2 linked regions of the Lepisosteus oculatus genome follow. The protein of the gene in region 2 purifies or fractionates together with the protein of the main gene of each other region. This does not show direct contact. Links are inferred from orthologs where the notes say so. Each region holds a gene or a part of one and is shown on either strand. Other genes may lie near its edges. The genes, in order: aak1b and reps1.

Region 1 (9,379 bases), about 52 Mb from region 2:
CCCTACAAGGAGTGAGTGGGATTCTGCTGTTGGATAGATGGACTTAAAGGCAGGACTTGAAATATATGCATTCACAAGTGCTTTATTATTATTGTTTTTATTTGCTCAGCAGGCAATTCACAATATACACAATAATACATCATACATTGTAAAATCATCCAAATTCAGTAAATAAGTAAAAATAGAAATGACAAAGAAAACAGCGAGGTAGGCACCACTTAGAATTGCAATGCCTGTGCTGCACAGAAGACAATGAAGGCAATGTCCGTGAAGAAGGGAGCAGTGTGTAGGCGAGGGATCACTGACTACAGTGAGGAAGGAAGGCCACTGAGCAGAGAGTTTCATCAGTCAGTGGTAAACATCTCCAGCAGGGCGACAGAGATCCTACAGGTAATGTCTGCACAGGTGAGGCCCGAGGAGACACGGAACGGAGGTCAGGGGCTGAGCACTCCTGATTTGAATGGGTGGTTCTCTCCTTCCCTGCCGAGCCGGGGGTGAGAATGCAGGGGCCCTGGGGGTGCAGGAGGGGAGAGGCGGAACAGTCTAGAGACAAGGGCAGAGAGAACAACACGTACACTGCATTATGGTTTGGTTTGTCGCCCTATAAAAGCAAATGTGTAAATGTCCCCCAGTGTCTCTGAGAATGATTTATTAGTAGAAAACTATTTCAGTCTGATGAGGATGCAAATCCCTTACACAAGGGTGTCCTTTTTGCATACTAGCACAGTGACATGAAGGAAATGTAGTGAAATGAATGGATGTGTTTTTTGCAGTGTACATTAGATGCACTTTAGCAGCTCCCCACCTGACAGTAGGGTGTCCCTTTATACAGTATATCTGTGATTCTATAACTGTGTATACAATGTATCAGACTTCTCAATAGTTTTCTTAAAGGTTATTCTAGATGCACAATACAGAAAGCATTATTTGCTGTAATGTTTGGTACTTTATTGAAATTCTCCTTCTTGTATAGCACCACACCCACAATAACATGTGGAGTTGTTGACCTGGTTAATTCTGCACTTTTAAGGGAGTTTCCTTCACAGACAGGGTAAAGGAATCAAATCTCTTTTGCCTCAGAAACTATTACCGATGGACCTGCGACAAGCTTTCAGAATCCTGAAAAGTATTCCCAAAACCAGACAAGTGGATTTGAGGATCCACGAAATGCAGACCAGAGAACACAAGTGCAAAGTAAATGAGGCATTAAAGATCTGGAACAAGAGTTTTACAAAAATGTCGAGGGAGTCTGAAACAAGCCATTTGCTGAATCTGATGCCATGAATAAAACTCTTAAAACAAAATGGCATTAAAAATAAATTAAATGGGCTTTTCTTTTGTTCTTATAAACAGGTAAATGCTTTTTCTTCATGTAGAGTGCAACAAGCAGCTTACGAAAGTAGTCCTAGGGGTTTGAATATGCAAAACAAAGCAAGAAACTACCCTTAAACAAATACTGTAATAATCAGTTTCCCTGTCCCATCATGCCTAGGCTGGACACGTGCTACACTTACAGGTAGTTGATATCATTCTGTTAATAGTGATATTACTTGTGCTGTGTCAATACAGAGCTTTTTATGTGGACAATATCAATGTTTTAGCATAACTATGTTCAATGTTGGAATCACTTGAAGATACAACATGACAGTCTAAGAATAAAGATTAAATGAATGACTGAATACATACAGTATTTAAGTAATAAACAGTCCACTTTTATAGACTCTGGCTCCTGTGTCCCTGAATTGGATTAAGTGATTAGACAGATGAGTAGATAGTGGATAGCCCACTTTAAGCAGTATTAAAGTACTTCTTAAAATAATGAATTATTCCATGACTGATATTTTAGTTTTGTTTCACATTTCAGACCATATATCATATACTGCAAGTAAAAAATGTTTAATCTGTCTAATCTGTTTACTTACTGCATTGTCTTGTAATTGTAATTGTCACATAGATCAATATAAAAGTATTTATTTAACACTGTTTTTCTGAGCTTTATTTTTATCATATTTGTCAATGATCTATCCCTCATACTTCAAGTGTGTTGTAGACTTTCTTCACAGAGAAAAAAGAGAAAGCAAGAGAGTTCCTTTAAACATGCTGGAGCTCGAAGGCCTGTTACAAATCACCAAAACGAAAAGAGGCTCGGGCTAGGCAGCTTGTCGGACAGGTGTTGCAGTCCAGCTGTATTATAAGAGCTGTTAGTCAGGAGTCTTATCAGAAGATGGTCAAGCTGAAGAAAATTATCTCAATAGGAAAGAGGGTTATAGAGAAGAAGGTCTAGTCCAGGTAAATAAGCATTACCACCAAACATCACAGGCTCTTAGAGTCTTAAAATGTCAGATCACAGAAGGTAAACATGCCTGGGTGTGGTCAGTACCATGATGGTAGATCTTTAAGGAAAACCTGATGACTCCTGGAAGCGGTGTAACCGGTCTGCATAAGAACAGGCTGCAATTACACAGGGACTACCAGTAGAGGCCGCCAAAGGTACTCCAATTTGTGTGACACGACTCCAGCTGTTGACTTTTAGATTGTGGTGAAGGAGATGGAGAAATACACTTTCTCGCTGGCCTTTTCTTGTATGTTCCCATCCAGGGAGACCACGGTATTTGAGGGTAGGCTCTACGGATGGTGATCTTGGCAGCACTCTTCCACTCTTTTTTAAACCACAGTTTCTAAAAACCAATGCCCCATTACAGTGACCTGGGACACTGTGCTGTGGGAAGTTGAGATAAGATGTTATTCTGTTCTGGATTTGTCAGACAACCTGGCCTGCTTGATGTTCCCTCTTAATTAAATTGATTAAGCAATCTGCTCACTTATCTTCCAGTTCTGTTGAGTAGAAGGGCTGCTGATACTGTACATAAAGATTATCATGCATCATTTTAAGGATCACCCTAACTCACTCACAAGGTGCAAGGCACTAATCAGATTCTGTTTTCATGGACCTCTTTCCCTGGTACCAGTTAGAACAATGCTATTTATATTATTATCCAGACTATTAATTTTGCCGGATAACACAAATAAAAATGTCACATAACTACGTGCATTAAAACTACTTTGAAATATTGCGTGTAATACAGTACATAGAAGATTAAAAACGCATCCAGCTACCTGGGACTGCTGACTACAGTCCCCAGTCGTATGATATAAATAAATTAAAGCTCATTATTTATAATTAGATTAATGACGTAACTGAGACTTCATATGAGATGGGCAAAAACTAGAAAACCCTATACAAGTCACAGACTGGAGCCTGAGTCCCCATTGTTAATGTATGTGATCCATGTAGGAAATACACTTTTGTATTGTACTGAATGGAACTGCACACTGTGACTGCATGAGATGCTTTTTGAAAAAAAACACACACACACCACAGAAAGAACAAAGACACAGGCTCCACCTGGTCTGGAATGAATACCTCAATATACCTTTGAGATATCCCCCCCCAGAATTAATATTTCATATTTTCCCAGTCTGTTTTGAATAGGCTTGACACACTGAGAAGCATGGGTCTTGTGTTGCTTTTAATCAAGTCAGAGTCGTAGAAGTAAAGAATTCTAGCTGTAGGGATTAAGAGGAGTTGCTTATTGCTGACTGTTTTTCAGTAAAGAAATAAGATTTCAGTGACTGTTAATGAAGTACATAGTAATGTTTAGGTTACAGTTTACTTTATACATGACTAAGTGAATGACTACATTGTTCTACTTCAATATTATATTGAATATATATATATATTTAGGAATATATTAGGTATATGGCTATTTAACATTCCAAATATTGGAATATTAATAACTACTGATGATCCTCATACTGCTAATAATAATTCAGAAAGAATAAAAGTATAGTGTACTAAATTCAAAGGCCATTTCCTTTACTCAACACAGAACATAAGCAGTGATGTGATGGCTCCCTCTTAAGGACGTTTTACGCTGTTACCTAGCAGTTATTTTTATATAGATACTTTAATGATCCAGTTAGGAAAATTGCATGTTTATAAGAAAACAGGAAGGGTTACAAACAAGAAGAGGTCATTCAGCCCAACTAGTCTGTTTGTTCATTTGTAGTTGATTGATCTGGGGATTTCAGATGCTGTTTCCTGAATGAAGCCAGCGTATTGGCTTCACCAACTCAGCCAGATAGCTTGTTCCACTCTTCCACCACCCTTTGGGTAAATAAAACAGTCTTCTGTTCTCTGGTTCATGTTTTGCTCTTCATTCTGAAGACGTCCACTGGGCGAGACTTTGTAAAATCCCTTGAAGATTCTGAAAATTTGTATCACATTCCGTTTTAGTCTTCTGTGTTCAAAACTATAAACGTTCAGTTCTTTTATCATGTCAGTGTGGAACATTTTGCTCATGAAGGAGATGTGGAAAATAATATTTATTTCTAATTATACCCTTTTCAGGTCAGTTGCAATAGTAGCACCAACAATAGCATCATTTAAGTAATTCTTATCCTGATTATTGTAATCGGTCATGAGACAGAGTGACTGTCATAATAACGTGCTCTAGTGTACGGTACCATCTGAATATAAAAAGGGATATAGAGAGAACGTGATGCACTTCTTGGTTGAAATGAATCTAGTCCTATATGTGCAGAACTTCTTTTGGGGGTAGAAAAGGCTATACAGATAAAATTATATTTAAAATTAATACTTAAAAGTATCCTAATATTGTTTTCATTTAATTGAGAAATTAAAACCATAAAACATCTATTACTTTTTTTGTTTTATATCGTGATATATTATGTGAATATTAATGCGTTATTTTAGTGCAATATTTATTTTCTACTATCGATGTTTTGTGTATGCCTGTGCATCTGTGTGGTTATATGCAGATACATATATACATAAGGAATTATGACTTTAAAATATATGCAGTATATAGATTATGCGCAGTCATTTATTGATGTACTGCATCGTGAAAGCTAGAAGGCAAAATGGCTCAAAATGTTTGCATTTTTGTGAATTAATTCTGACCGCCCAAGGTCATGGGCGAAGATCAGACAGAAAGGGAAAAAGAGATAGTCTCGGGTTCGTTCATTCATAGTATTCATTCCAAGATGTGGCCTTTCTGTTAAAACTGCAACATCTACACCAAAAACGACAATACCCAGTTGGTTATATATACACATATTATGAATTGAGGACTACACTACAACCTATTCATGTCGCTTCAGAAAGTTTCTAAGGATAGTCGATACCAAACGATATCCAGAGTTTTTCTGGTGAGCAAAAAAACACTACGAGTACCACAATGCTTTGAGAGAAAGGGGCTGATTTCTGTCAACATCGTATTTCAAACTACTTTTGAAATGTAATGCATTGTACGAGGCCGACACACGCATACTGCTCTGTACAATGATTTGGTTTATTTTTAAAATTGTATTAGGAAAATGTTTAATCGACTCTAATTGCGGATGGGAGTTGTAGTTCTTGAGTTGTCACTTTGCGCTCCTACTTTCCTCACCCAGTGGGTGTAAACCAGCCCGGGACTACAATTACCATCCTTCGCCGCGGAGTGACAGTAATTCAGATTATCGTCTTTATTTTTATTTTCAGATTTTAGGAAAGACGATATCGCGTATCTGCAGTGAATCTCAGTGCACCGAGGCCTAAAAATGCGATAGAGTGGAGAAGTTGTTTTTTCCATTTCCTGTTTTGTTGTATTTCCTGGTATGGGGACGAGCCGCTCAGCTGTTTTTTAAGAGCAAACCTAGACGTTGAAATAAACCAGAGGGGGTTTGGGAAAAAAAGGGCTCTGGTTAATTGGGAATTCGTACATAAAATAAACCCCACAGAAGAGGCCGAAAAGGCTTTGAAGAAATCGTGAAAGACAAGATAAATATACCATACTGATGGCAGGGCTGGAAGGAGAGATTTTCGAATAGAAACAAGCATCCGAACTGGGGCAGGATTTTTTTTTTAAGCTACACAATCATTGCACCAGTTCGCTCGCATCCCTGGCTGGCGTGATGAAATGAGTCTCTACCCATGCCTTATTTACCAAGGCTCCGGGGAAGCAATGGAGAAGACGCTGTTTTAAGCTGAGAAGGGAAGAAAAGAATAAAAAAAGATCGCTTAGCTTTGCTATTGCAATAATTGTATTTAACGCCTGAGCATCTTAGCGACATCGTCGGAAGGGGGTAGCTTTTTAATTTTCTTTATTTTTTTTTTATTTATTCGTCATGGATTCGGCCACTTGCTTCTGGGGCGCCTAACCAGTTTAACCTTGGGCTTTTCTTACGTGGAAGATAGGAAAGTGACAGCCGTATTGCAAGGGGCTGTTTTGCCAAAGCATAAGCAGACAGGATCCCTTTGGCACGTTTTCAGGTTCAGCTGAATAGCTGTCATAGCCGGGACACTCGCCGGATTTGGCACTTTTGGCGCTGCCAGTGTTATACCGCCTTCACACCGGAGCTCGAACCTGGCTGGGGCGGACCGGGACGTTTCCTTGGGATTGCTTTCTCTTTTCGCACATTGAACTTCTTTCCTCCTCCTCCTCCTCCTCCCCCCGTCCCGTCGTCCGACTGCCGGGGAAGATGAAGAAGTTTTTCGACTCTCGTCGGGAGCAGGTCGGCTCCGGCCCGGGCTCCGGCGCCGGCGGAGGCGGCGGGAGCGGGTCCGGCGGCGGCGGCAGTTACATTGGAAGGGTGTTCAGCGTCGGACGGCACCAGGTCACGGTGGAGGAGACGCTGGCGGAAGGTGAGAAACGGCCCGGGCACCCTCAATAGCTGCTGCTTTGTCAGTGTGGTTGATGTTCACACGCTAGCAAGTCACCGCTCACCGCTTTTCTGCAATGGGATGGTTAGCGCGTTTTCCACCTGAGGGCTGTTTGGTGAACTCTACCCTGTGGGCGCCACTGTGGACGTTGTCTGGGACTGGGCTCCGTCATACTGCAGTGCATGCTGTGTATGTGAGCCTAAAATATAGATCAGGCTTTAAAACCACTAACGGGTCCATACATGCCACACAGGTGCAGAGCACTTTAGCACTTGCACCCCATCTATAATAATCTTAGATAAGATTTGATTGTAAAGCTTGGACTCAGCTCCCTCAGTCGAGAGACCACACAGACCAGATCCTTCCTGTTCTTGTTTGGCCAAGCATTTTTGCTCTTTATGTGTGGAAGCTTATGAGGTGCTCCCCAATAGGAAACGGGGATTCTCAGAAGCACCCCCTACTTCTGCAAGAGTGGGAGGGGAAAAGTGTGAACCCCTTCACCTGATAATTCCCTGAGATTTTGGGCCCATGTGTGATGAATGAACACGGAGGAGGTGGGCAGGTCCATGTTGTTGTCTTCCTCTTTCCTGTCGCTCCGTTCCTTAGTCATCATGACATTATCTTGGTGAGTGGTTTTCTTGTTGCTGATACTTTGCGGTTTGCTCTACGTGTTGCTAATGAGCGACACCCTCTATTCGGCACCCCTCCCCACACCAGAAAAAAACCCAACAGATTGTCACAATAACTTCTGCAGGAACATACCAAGAACTGTGCATGCAGCAGTCTTATGAAAACACACTCACACATGCAAGTGGAGATATATCACACAAAGAAAAGGGTACTAGGTGTTTCCTCTAGAGAATCTATAAAGTTCGTTGAGGGTTAGCGTTAGTATTTGGATTGTGAATGAAGGAAAAGGTAAATGTATTGAACATATGCCCTGGAATCATCGGAGAGATTCTTGTAAAACTTAAACACATCCATATACTCAAAAAAAGGCTTCTCAGGAGACTGACACTGAGATTTTCTGAGACCGAGATATAAATAACACTCCCCATGTTAAAGCATTTCCAACCATTCCAGGGTTGAATGCTCCTCTGTATGACTCAACACGAGCTGCTGGATGTTTCATGCTGCTTACCTTTTTTGGGATAAGATGTGGAGTGCAAATATGAAGGAAAGTTCTTTGCCTGGTTAATTAACCGAGTTGCAGAAGCAAATCCGCACTAAGTTCAAAAGGCGAATTCATACGTTCTGTATGACATGGAGCAAACCAAAAAAAAAAATGAAACCGTGCTCCTTCAGTCACAATCGGTTCCATGAACCTTGTTTTGTGTTATTTGTATTCTACACACCTGTGCCTGCTTATATGCTTACCAGAAACGTCCCAAGCAGCTGTTCTCTCTGGCTTTGATTTTTAGAATTAGTTTAGCGTGTGGTCGCTGGTATATTGATCTGTACAATGCTTTTGAAGTGTCCAGGATAACAAAGATGTTTTGACATAAGATGCATGGTGGAATTAAACGGCCAGCGCTCACCTGAGAATATCTGAGGTGGGTGGAGAGGAACAGCTGGATCTGTGCCACTGGGCTTGCAAGCCAGGATGTCTCCAAGACATTGTGGGCTTCATTCGAATGGCAATTGCAAGGACAGCATGTTCCCTGGTTTCTGCAATATAGCCGAACAGCTACGCCTTAAAAGCAAAATCCAGCAAGTACTGCAGTCAGCAGAGAAGGCCGTGAGCATTCACAGCTTAGGTTCTTGTGTAAACAGCTGTGTGCTGAAAAGGGAAAATAAATTATTCTAAAATAGCTGCGTCGGTGGCAGATTCATTCAAAAATCAATTGCATCAAGTGCTTCAAAAGCAGTGAAAACGGTGCACATACTGTACCTATCCCACAGTAGAGTTAATCTTTAAGCAGAGTATGTAGTGGAACCCTATGGCCAGGGGTAATAATGTTAATGTAATAATAATAATAATGTTAATCATAAGAATGTTTCTTTATTAGCCCTGTACAATTTCTTGCATTAGGAATTCGTCTTTTTGCATACCACAGCTTTTCTCCATGGAGACACAGACACACAGACAGGGAGAGAAGCTTGGGTTCAGAGCGCAGGGTCTGCCATTTTACAGCGCCCCTGGAGCAGTTAGGGTTAAGGGCCTTGCTCAGGGGCCCAACGGAGTAGGATTCCTCTGCCGGCCACGGGATTTGAACCGGCAACCTTCCAGTCACAGGCGCGGATCCTGAGCCACAGAGCCACCGCTCCGCCCTCAGACTCGAGTCTGGAGTGTCTTACCTCTGGAGATCAATGGTTCATGTTCGGGCTGTGAATCTCATTGATTGTGCCTGGCAGTCTGCAGCCAGGAGCTCAGCCCTGGACTGAGCCCTGTAGGACCCGTCCAGTTCTCGGTTCTCTGGACTGGGAGAAGTTGTCGGTGCACTCCCAGCGTGTCCTGTTCTGGATGAGCTGCGCATGTTTTTAGTTGCTATTTGTCGGATCTGTCTGCCATCTCATTTGCAAATCCCAAGGTGCTTCAACCCTGTCAATCCGGTCAGCAGTAAACACAGCTCCTGTGTATCATGGCAGATGCTATAGAAAACGAACTGTACTCACACTGTTTAGTCCCCCTCCATAAGAAACAATTGAAAT
Region 2 (9,883 bases):
ATGCATTTTAATAAGGCCAAAAACTTCCACTGTATTTCTTTTTGAGGCATCAAATGTTCTGGTTATTCCAGTTATTGTGCTGAATTTTCTACTCACTCCTTTGTTTCATGATTGCCTCAATCTATATCTCCTTTGGTTATACTTCAGAGAGCAGTTCTTGAGAGAGAGGACTCATTTTTGCTGCATTGTGAAACTCCACTGGTTTTTGCCTGAGTTTAGCAATATGTTGCATACTTCCAGGCTGGCTATAAAGACACTTGTTAGTTTATTTGTGTAAAATATAATCAGAAACCTCTTCTACTTTTTGAATTTTGTTTTTTTCTACTCACCAGTTGTATTCCCAGATCAGTGCTATGGTGTTTCAGAGAGGTAGTCTTTTTTTCTGCATCTCAGCTGTGTCAGCACTAAGGATTCCATGAAAAACATGACTCTTGATCCACCCAGTAAAGTTTTTGACTTGGTCTTTTAGTGTATTATTTTCCTCTTTATATAATACTGTAACGCTTACGGCCGACAGGCACTGTGTAAGAGCCGGCGTACCAGAACAGGTGATGTCACCGCCCTTCCCTGTGATAGCAGGACCACAGCTACTGGGCTGTGGAGAGATCTCTTTTTAGCTCACGGGGCTAGGTCACTGCAGAGAGACGCGGAAGTCCCGGGTTCGAGCCTCCAGTCGGGATGGGGCCGACCAGATCCGGCAAGGGCGCCCGCCTGAGCCCCCGTTGCGTTACAATACTCACATCTGTATTATACAGTGTTATTAATTAGAGAGTTACTAATTAAATCAATTTCACTTAAGTAGTACCTATGTTTGCTTTCAGGTATCTTCTGGTAGTTTCTAAATTGTACCCAGTGATAAGGCTGATCCTTATGCTTAAGTACATAAGGGTGCCCATATTTGTTAACACACTAAATAATGAATCCCTACATTTCTTATTAAAAGATATAAGTTATATAATGTTATTCCTCCTGAAGTGACTCCTCTGTCATGTCAGAGTGCTATTAACTAATGTTGTATTTCCCAGCACAATTCTCTGTTAGCCATACAGTATTTCTGTGATTTCAGTTATATGATAATTTTATGCTGTTGCAGTTGCTTCTATGCCTTGAATTTATTATACCAATTCTCCATGCATAGGAGCAACAGTATATTTCCATAATGTGGGAAATAACCCTATTTGTCATAGACATGTTCAAAATATTACAGAAATAAATATGCAGAACAATTGCAAAATTTGCCCATAAACCTTTTATTTACAGTAAAAAATAAATTTGTAGGTGGCCCATCCAACTCAAATAAAAAGAAACCAAATAATTACTTTTTTATTACAAAAATGTACCTAATCATTTGCTCTAAAATACTCTATTAATGAATAACATTATGGCAAACATCATTGCATTTATGAAATGTTTTAGTTGAATCAAATACAAATAAGGAAATGTGCTTTAATGATGCATACATAGTAGTTTTTATTTCTCCTTTTACTGTAGATACTGTGATGTACGCTTCAGGGAAAAAATACATTTGACTAATTTTCTTCTGGCTTCCTCTCCAAGTCCTTGTTAGTGTATTCCCCTGTCTCCTGTGCTCTTTATCGATGTCTTTTTCCTTCTCACACTCTTGATCTCTCATTGCTGGTTTCTCTGCTGCCACAGCCAACATGTGACTCATTTGCCCTTGAGCCCTTGGAAAGCAAACATGATTGATCAGTTTCTTTGGCCAGAGATTAAATGTGGCACAATGATGTGGTTATTAGTTTCTTTGAATAAAATAAAAAAAGCTTAAGAAATGTCCTCTTATAAATCACCTTTTGTTTTTTCTGACTGCTGGAAAGATAGAAAACCTGGATTCATGCTGGTTAAACATAATTAACTATAATGTGGCGTTCTAGGGCAGTTTTCATGCTTCTACAGTATAAACTACTCTTTTTATTACTAAGTTTTTGGAGTAAATTCCATTATTTTATTCACTAAGTAAAACCTATAAAATAAAAGTAAACCTACTACACACAGTATATACTTCTTAAAGATTGTTACCAGTCAAAATCTTCCAAACACTCTTTTATATGTAACTCAAAGTAAATCAAGAGAAGCCAGTGTTTGGACTCCCTTTTTATTCCATTGTACGACATTACTCAAAATAATTCTTAGTCAATTAAGTGGAAGTGTCAAATAGGACAACAGATGCAACAGAATTAAGCAGGATTGAAATAGATTGTTTATTTTGTGTTTCTGATAAATTCATGTGAGTACAGTAAAATCTTTTTTTTTGCTTTTTTGTTTTAGCATTTAGATGTTCTGCAATGTTCAAATTGAAGTTAAAATAATTAAAAATATTTAAAGGCAGTATTAGAATGAATGCGAATACAAAAGCCTCACTCCCCTTCAAACGTGCTCTTGTGGCTAGAAAAGGAAGACGGTATACATCCTGTTTGTGGTTCAACCTTCTCTTCTTCTTACAGAACAATGGAACAATGTTCAGACGGCTAATGAATGTCACAGGTCATGACAGCCATTAGAGGAACAGATTGTGAATTCTAGGATTAAGTAATTTTGGAACAGCGGGCACATTTGCAGGCTTATCTTTTGTTTCAAGAATATTAATGGACTTTTTTTCTTTTTTTCTGCCTTTCTTTTTTTTAATTATATAATTTAAGCATGCCCAAAGGGTTTGGGCAACCAGTTGACCTTGGTCCCTAGAGGTGTTTTTCTCCTTACTAAGGAGTTTTTGGTTCCTCTCCTCCATTGTCTTCTGGTCGTTTCTGTTCTGTATTCACAACATGAAGGGTTACTTGCTTTGTTAAGCGCCTTGGGGCAACCTTGTTGTGAAAGGTGTTATATAAAAATTGAATTGAATTGAACTGAATTGGTTTTCATTAAAAAAAGTATAATTTGCTTCTAAATGTGTAACTTAAAAGTATATTAAGAAAACTGTCAGAATGCATTCTTCACATCAACTCAATATTTTCTTTGTACCATTTTTCAGGGAAGAAAGATAAAGGCAGTACAGAACTGCCTTCTAGCAAGTTTTAGCATAAAGCTAAACTCAGAGAAGATGATGACAGTAGTTGAAAACTACTGACAGGATGATGATATTGGGACAAATTAACTATTTATCACACTACAAAATATGAAGAACTGCAATTGCAAAACAGTGGTATTAACAGAGAAGGGCATCAGTAAGAAAAATGATAATGATAGCTCTGCACTCTGACAAAGATTAACCACTGAAAGGACCGTCGCCATTGGTAGGCTTCTTTATGCTATCGATATCTCACAATTTCACCTCTTGTCTATATCAGTGAGGACAAATGAAAGTTAAATCTAAGGACAGAACTAACTAACTTGTACTAGGAGGTAGAACAAGAAACAACATCAATTGATACAAATAGAGAATGGGACATGCTGATTTTCAGAAGGTTTTAGATAAAGTAACTAATACAAGATTAGTTTTTACTTTGTAAACAGTAGGCATTGCGTTCAAGTTACTGTGTGTTATTGGATTAAGAATTTGTTAATGGAAAGTAATGAGAGGGTACAGATAATTGATGAATACATAAATTGGGATAATGAAATTCTTTATTCCAATTTAATCAATTGGATTAAAAGGTGGATGCTGCACATTGGTGGTGGTGGAGGGTAATCCCCATTACCTGTAAAGCGCTTTGAGTGGAGTGTCCAGAAAAGCACTATATAAGTATAAGCAATTATCAATTATTAATCATCAATTATCAATCATTAATTATTAATTATTAATTATTAATTATTGTTATTATAGTTTTGCCCTCTGAAGGTACACCTGCTATGGCACCTTAGAGGCAGTCAGACATTGGCAGCCTGTCATTCTCTTTGGATGTGAACAAAAACATTGGCATACAGTCCCACTTTACTTTTATTTTATTCTTATAATGAGTTACCAACTCACAGTGAATTGGAAGCATCAATCATGAGAGCTGAAAAAAAATGTCACCTCTTTTGTTTGTCTATTGCTTGTGATGTTTATTATGGACGTGTGTTTTTTTTATAAATATAATATCCATTGTTCAGTTGTCATTAGTTACCCCCTCTAGATGCTTAAATTCAAGATATAGTTGAAACCTTTGTACTTTAATAAATATATTTATTCATTTACTGTGGCTTTGGCAAGCGTCTTCGCTCTCGTATTACCTACTGTATGTTTTAATGGATTTGTGGCTTTCTGCGTCCCTGCCATTGGACTGCCCCTGCCCCTTTCCCTTTCACCTTTGATGAGGCTCACTTCTTCCTCTGCTTCACCTTATATAAGGGAACGGAAGCTTCTGTGCTCTTTTTGTCTTCATCGCTGTTGAGCAGATGCCCCTACACTATATCTTTTTCTTTCTGCTTCTAGCACTTTCGCTGGCACAACCTGCAAGCCCCTCTATAAGCAATAAACCTGTGTGAGCCTGATTCATTTTGATTCAATGCAAGCTTTATTATCCCCCGGGGGAAAATTGTTTTATGGCAGAGTCCAACCAAACAATACAAGAGAAACAAACAGTCATCACCAACAAGACTACAGTACACATAGTTATAGGAGTTATAAGAGTTATTTTACATTGGATGGGAGTGATATTGCAGAGGGGATGAAAGATGTCTTTAGTCTATGATCGTTACACCTTGGGACATAGAAGTGTCTCGGAGATGGGGGATGTTTAAATTCACAAACATATTGCTCTTACAATTTACGGTGCCGAGGTGCCAAACCATCAAGTAAGATACTGTAGTATTGTAAAAACACTTTCAACACTTTATTTGTAAATTGTTTTTAGTTCCCTCTACCTTAAAGAAGCCAAGCTTCCAAAGAAGAAAAAGTCTCTATTAACCTGTTTTGAAATGATATCACAATATGGATTTTTGTCTATTACCAGTCCCAAGTTCTTGAAGTTGTTGGTCAGCTTTAATCACAGTAGGCTGGGGGAAATGTTAATTTTTTCCTAAAACTGATGATTAGTTCTATTGTTTCCAGAATATTTAACATCAAAGCGAGCTCATCACACCACTTAGTAAAATCATTCAGAATGAGCCCCTGATGATTTTCCATTTCCGTGTAATAAGGTGACCAGGGCTGTGTCATCAGAAAACTTAATGAAATGTTTGTCTGTGTGTTTGCTCTTACAATTGTTAGTGTACAAAATGTACAATATGGGAGAAGAGATGCAGCCCTGTGGTGATCCAGCTCCTGTTGTTCCTTCTACACCAGCTGACACTAGGTAAACTGAAGTATTATGTGGTGTGTAAAGGGAAAAGCATATTTTCAATATCTGTGGATCTGTTTACAAACAATATAGCCTTGTGACCCTCGTAATCTTGACAGCTCAGAGCTTCCTCTCATCTTCCATATGACTGCTCTCTATGTTTAGTTCTTGTGCATTTCCCTTTTCTGACACATTTGAACAAAAAGCAGTGTGTTGCTGGTATTTTTGTAAGCACAAGGCATATGCCTTTTCAGTGCTCATCCTTTTCTTTTTAATATTTGGTGCAAAAAACCTAAGTGTATAGCGAAAATCTACACACACTCACACTTGTTCTGTTAGTTGACAGGGTGATGAGGCTGTATGTCCACTTGCAGGTGGAGAGACTATTACAAAATTCCAATTCACACAGACGTATAAGGTCAATATTTTAACATTGTTTCAAAATTGTAAATAAAAATAATGCAGTTTACTTAATTAATTTATTTTTATAGGTGCACTGCTTTTTAAATATGCCCTGAATATTTGCTGCCTTTTATACGTTAATATAAATAATAAATAATATAGGGGGCAGTTGATACAGATCACATAAACATGGGATCTTAACACCAAATATAAATAAAAAAGTTTATTGGTATGTTCCTTCCTCAGGGTGACTCATTTTCGCAGCAGCTAGACGGTTATTATTTGAGGCTAGGCGTGGTAAAGAAAGAAAGCTGACTCGTCACTTTTCATGTAACAGGAGATGCTGCTTCACTGCCGTATCCATATGGACACTGCACAGAACCAGCAGCTGCTCCAGTTGCTGGCATGCAGTAGCCATGCCCAGCCCGCATGCCTGGCAGACGGGGCGACTGACTGTGTTGATACGCTCCATCCGGGTCTTCTCTCCTCCTCCCCCTCGCAGTCCCGAGACCTTCGCTGACTCGCTCTGTCTGTGTAGTGACGTCACGGGGCGCAGGAATGGCGGCGCTGGCTGTTAGAGGAAGGAGCCCAGAGAGCCTGAAACTTTATTTATACCATCAATCACTGAATTAAAAACGAGAAGAAAGAAAGAGAAGGAGAAACTTTACACAGCTACGGAAGGAAATACACGGAACTTTATCCAGTACCGCAGGCCTTGTGATTATCGACGTTTTGGGGGTGCTGGCTCACTTGATGTAGCGGTGCATTTGTGAAAGAAATCCTGCCCATTTCTTTCTTTTATTTTTAAAAGTTTAATTTTTCCCTTCTGACCTTTTGGTGCGGGGGATCGGTGGATATTTCGTCTCTGGGCTTTTAGCCGTTTGTCTTTTTTTATACTACCATGGAAAGTTTAACCCTAAGTGATGTGGAGCAGAAATACTACTCGGACTTGTTCACCTACTGCGACACGGAAAACACCAAGAAAGTGGCTTCAAACGGCAGAGTCCTGGATCTCTTCCGAGCGGCCCAGCTGCCCAGCGAGGTGGTCCTGCAGGTATAAACAGATCTGCCCGAACCGTAAATAGCCGACATAGCGGCGAAACTTTCCGCAGCACGCCTGGTTGAAACCGAGGTCGGTTTTAAACTGGGGGGTAGGCTTGGCGTTGACAATGTAGATCTGCCTACCGGCGCTCTTCCGTTTATTGCTAACTTCACTCTATTAGGTTTGTGGGATTTGGTTAAATCAGACGTGAAGTCTTACAGGCAAATATTTTGATAAATAATGTGCATGCTACGTTTTAAACGAGTAATGTTGACTATTTGTAGGTGGTGCGTAAGAGAGAGAGATGAGAGAGTTTCATTCTTAATGAGTGATTTACTCCTATTAGACTCGCACTGTTTTGGGCAAGTGCTTTTTAAATCACGCAGAATTAAATAGTTTATTTTCGCTCATCGACATCTTCCAACAGCAAGCCGCCAGTTCTTAAATGTGCACGATGTTTCTGGGGGGGTATTAAACCCCTTTTGTATAGGTGTGGCTATGGAGACGTTGCCCCTTTCCTTTTTTTTTGATCACGAGATGATTTCTCACCACATGAAAACAACTGTTTAACGGACACTCGGGAATCATTTTGTTCCATGTTACACATCTGTACACCCAAAACCTTCATTTTAGTATCTGACTATATTATATATGAACCTGGTCTGTAGTTCTGTGGCAGTGAGCAGCTTCCGGCCTACTGCTTTAGCGTCAGAGCATCGATAGGCATGATACCACACTGATTTTAGGGATTGGATGGTTGGAAAATTGTGTCGCGGCTGGTACCTATTTTTTTCTTGTTCGTTTGAAAAGTGTAAATGTAACTATTAGGCCCTTCAACTAGTGTACTATCAGTGCACACCCAATTACTCGGAGGCTAGGAAAAAATGGATTTGAAGTCCAAACAACAGCTGAAATCAATTCATCACGTCATTTATGCTAAGCATCTTGTGTTCTCATACATATACGTGCTGGTGGCTGATGTATTGTCTTGATTCAGTGTCCAGATGTTGAAGAACCGATAACAGGCTGAATTAAAAGAAATGGGATCTTGAGCTAGTCAAAACACTTTGTCACATGCATGTTTTAAGTAGCGGATGCTTGTTTTGCTGAATGCACTCAAGCAGTGCATAGAATTCCGACTCACTAGTGTCAAAGGGGTGTGTCGGGTATTGAGGATTTTTTTAAGTGTCAGTACAGCACGTTTAGTCACGTTCTGCCACTTCATGCTGTTGCAGCGGCTGATGAGGCAGATAAGAAATCGCTAAGCGAAAACACGTTTTGTTGGGCAGCAGTTTTGAATCCCTCTTGAGTTAACACCGGTGATACACAGGTCAGTTGATGATTCATAAGATGCAACGCGTTGTTCAAGTTAGAACGGGTCACATGATCCCAGAACACAATTTGTTTTTCGCACTGAGTACTTCTTACGTTTAGGGGACTTCCATGCAGTTAGGTTTACCCCGGTCTTGAATATATTCTTTCAGTTTAACTCTCCTGTTGACACACATTTGCAATTTGGTCGTGGATCTTAAGTCTGGAAAGTTTTCTGTAAATGCATGGAATTGTTTTAAAATTTTATACAATTCATGAGTAGGTGACTGACAAATAGTAACTCGTGAATCATGATTTGAAATCTTTCCAATTTTGCCATACAGTAGTAATTATTAAATGGGGAATGTTTTTAACACTCGATTTCATATTAAAAGTCAATGAGTGTAAATGTGTGAAATTGTGAGTAGTAACAGCATACTAAGAAATTCAAATAATGAAGACCCTTATGTGAAACAAATCTCCACATGTTGTTCTGTCTTTAGTATTTTTGTAAGTGCCTTTATTTACAGTAGAGCTATTCACACACCTGTAGGTATTAGATTCGGTTTAACGTATAAGAGGACGTTTTACTTTTAGACACTTTTGTTTTTGACTTTTTGCACAATATGTTGACTTTTTAATTTGAACATTGGGGATAATTTTCTTTCTAATAGCGGAATTGATCTTGGGATCAACCCTGTTGTTGTCTTGAAGGAAGCCAGGTTTTATGTTTTAGAGTTTCACATTTTTAACTGGATAACTTGTTCCAGGCTCCTGCACCCCATTTTGCAAACAAAATGTCTTCTGTCTCAGTATTTATGGACTTACTTAGCTGGACATCATACAGTTTTACTGAATTCCAAGATTTCACTGAGATCTGGATACAACTGGGTAAGCTCACATTGAGCATGCCTTATGTAATGTTTTTTCTTCATGATCGCAAGTGATATTTTGAGCATAACTTGGAGTCTGCTCTTTTATTGCAAGAAAACTAAACTAGAGGGCCCAAAGTTTGATTGTTAATTGCCAGCTGTTCAGCTGTATGATTAAAGCAGTAGTCAGATAGATTCTGCAATAGATGCATTTTTCATCAGGGCTAAATTTGTCTGTTTCCTTGCAAAATCCCAGCTAAATTATAAGGCATCCCAGACACAGCATTTGGCATGCAACCCCCTGAGCTGGTACATTCTTCTCATTCTGGTAGGAGTTTTATTTGTATTTGAAAACTGACCAGGGGCTTCCTGTGTTTAATAACATGTTTGACGGTACCTGTGTTAGTCTAGACATTTGCATCTGTTTGTTATAAAAGTACATTACATTTTGAGTGTACACTGATTTTTTTTTTGTAAAGGGCCATTGTATTTTATTTCAGATTAAATATGTTATTAGATATTAAGTGATGCTGTTCATGTTTTTTTTTCTTCTGAATTTATCAGACTTCTTATAAGATAAATAAGATGCTTTCAGTAGTTCTGAAATACTGATATTAAAGGCAGAACAAATGGGTTTTCTTCCCAACAGAACTGGAAAGGTGAAAACATGAAAGAACAGATTGATAAATAGGTATTGTATTTCTTATAAGTAATTTAAAATGTTATTACTAAGAATTAGACTGTCACATTCCTAGAGTATTATGTTAAAGCTAACAACCACACCTTTCTAGGTTTTATTTTGTGTAATCTTAGAACAGTAAAAGAGTGAAAAAATGAATGTTATGTAAAAAGGTCCTCTGAATATCCCAAAGGCTTTCATTTGTCTTCCAGATCACTGAACTATGTGGTGCAACTCGTCTTGGATATTTTGGACGAAGCCAGTTCTACATTGCATTGAAACTCATTGCTGTTGCACAGTCTGGACTGCCACTGCGGGTAGAAAGCTTAAACACGGGTAAGATGAGACTGGAATCCCAGAA

What was found.
Region 1: the proteins of reps1 (region 2) and aak1b purify together in Homo sapiens (affinity purification with mass spectrometry; 3 studies listed by BioGRID and IntAct, counting the BioPlex papers as one, with this or other methods). This does not show direct contact. The link is inferred for Lepisosteus oculatus from reciprocal best matches to the Homo sapiens genes REPS1 and AAK1.

What each region holds. Positions count from the first base shown.
Region 1 is NC_090697.1:72,602,742-72,612,120, reverse strand, and holds the start of aak1b (AP2-associated protein kinase 1), read left to right. Parts: upstream 1-5,538; 5' UTR 5,539-6,546; coding exon 6,547-6,709; intron 6,710-9,379.
Region 2 is NC_090697.1:20,321,102-20,330,984, forward strand, and holds the start of reps1 (ralBP1-associated Eps domain-containing protein 1), read left to right. Parts: upstream 1-6,131; 5' UTR 6,132-6,519; coding exon 6,520-6,672; intron 6,673-9,734; coding exon 9,735-9,858; intron 9,859-9,883. UniProt on the Homo sapiens protein: May coordinate the cellular actions of activated EGF receptors and Ral-GTPases.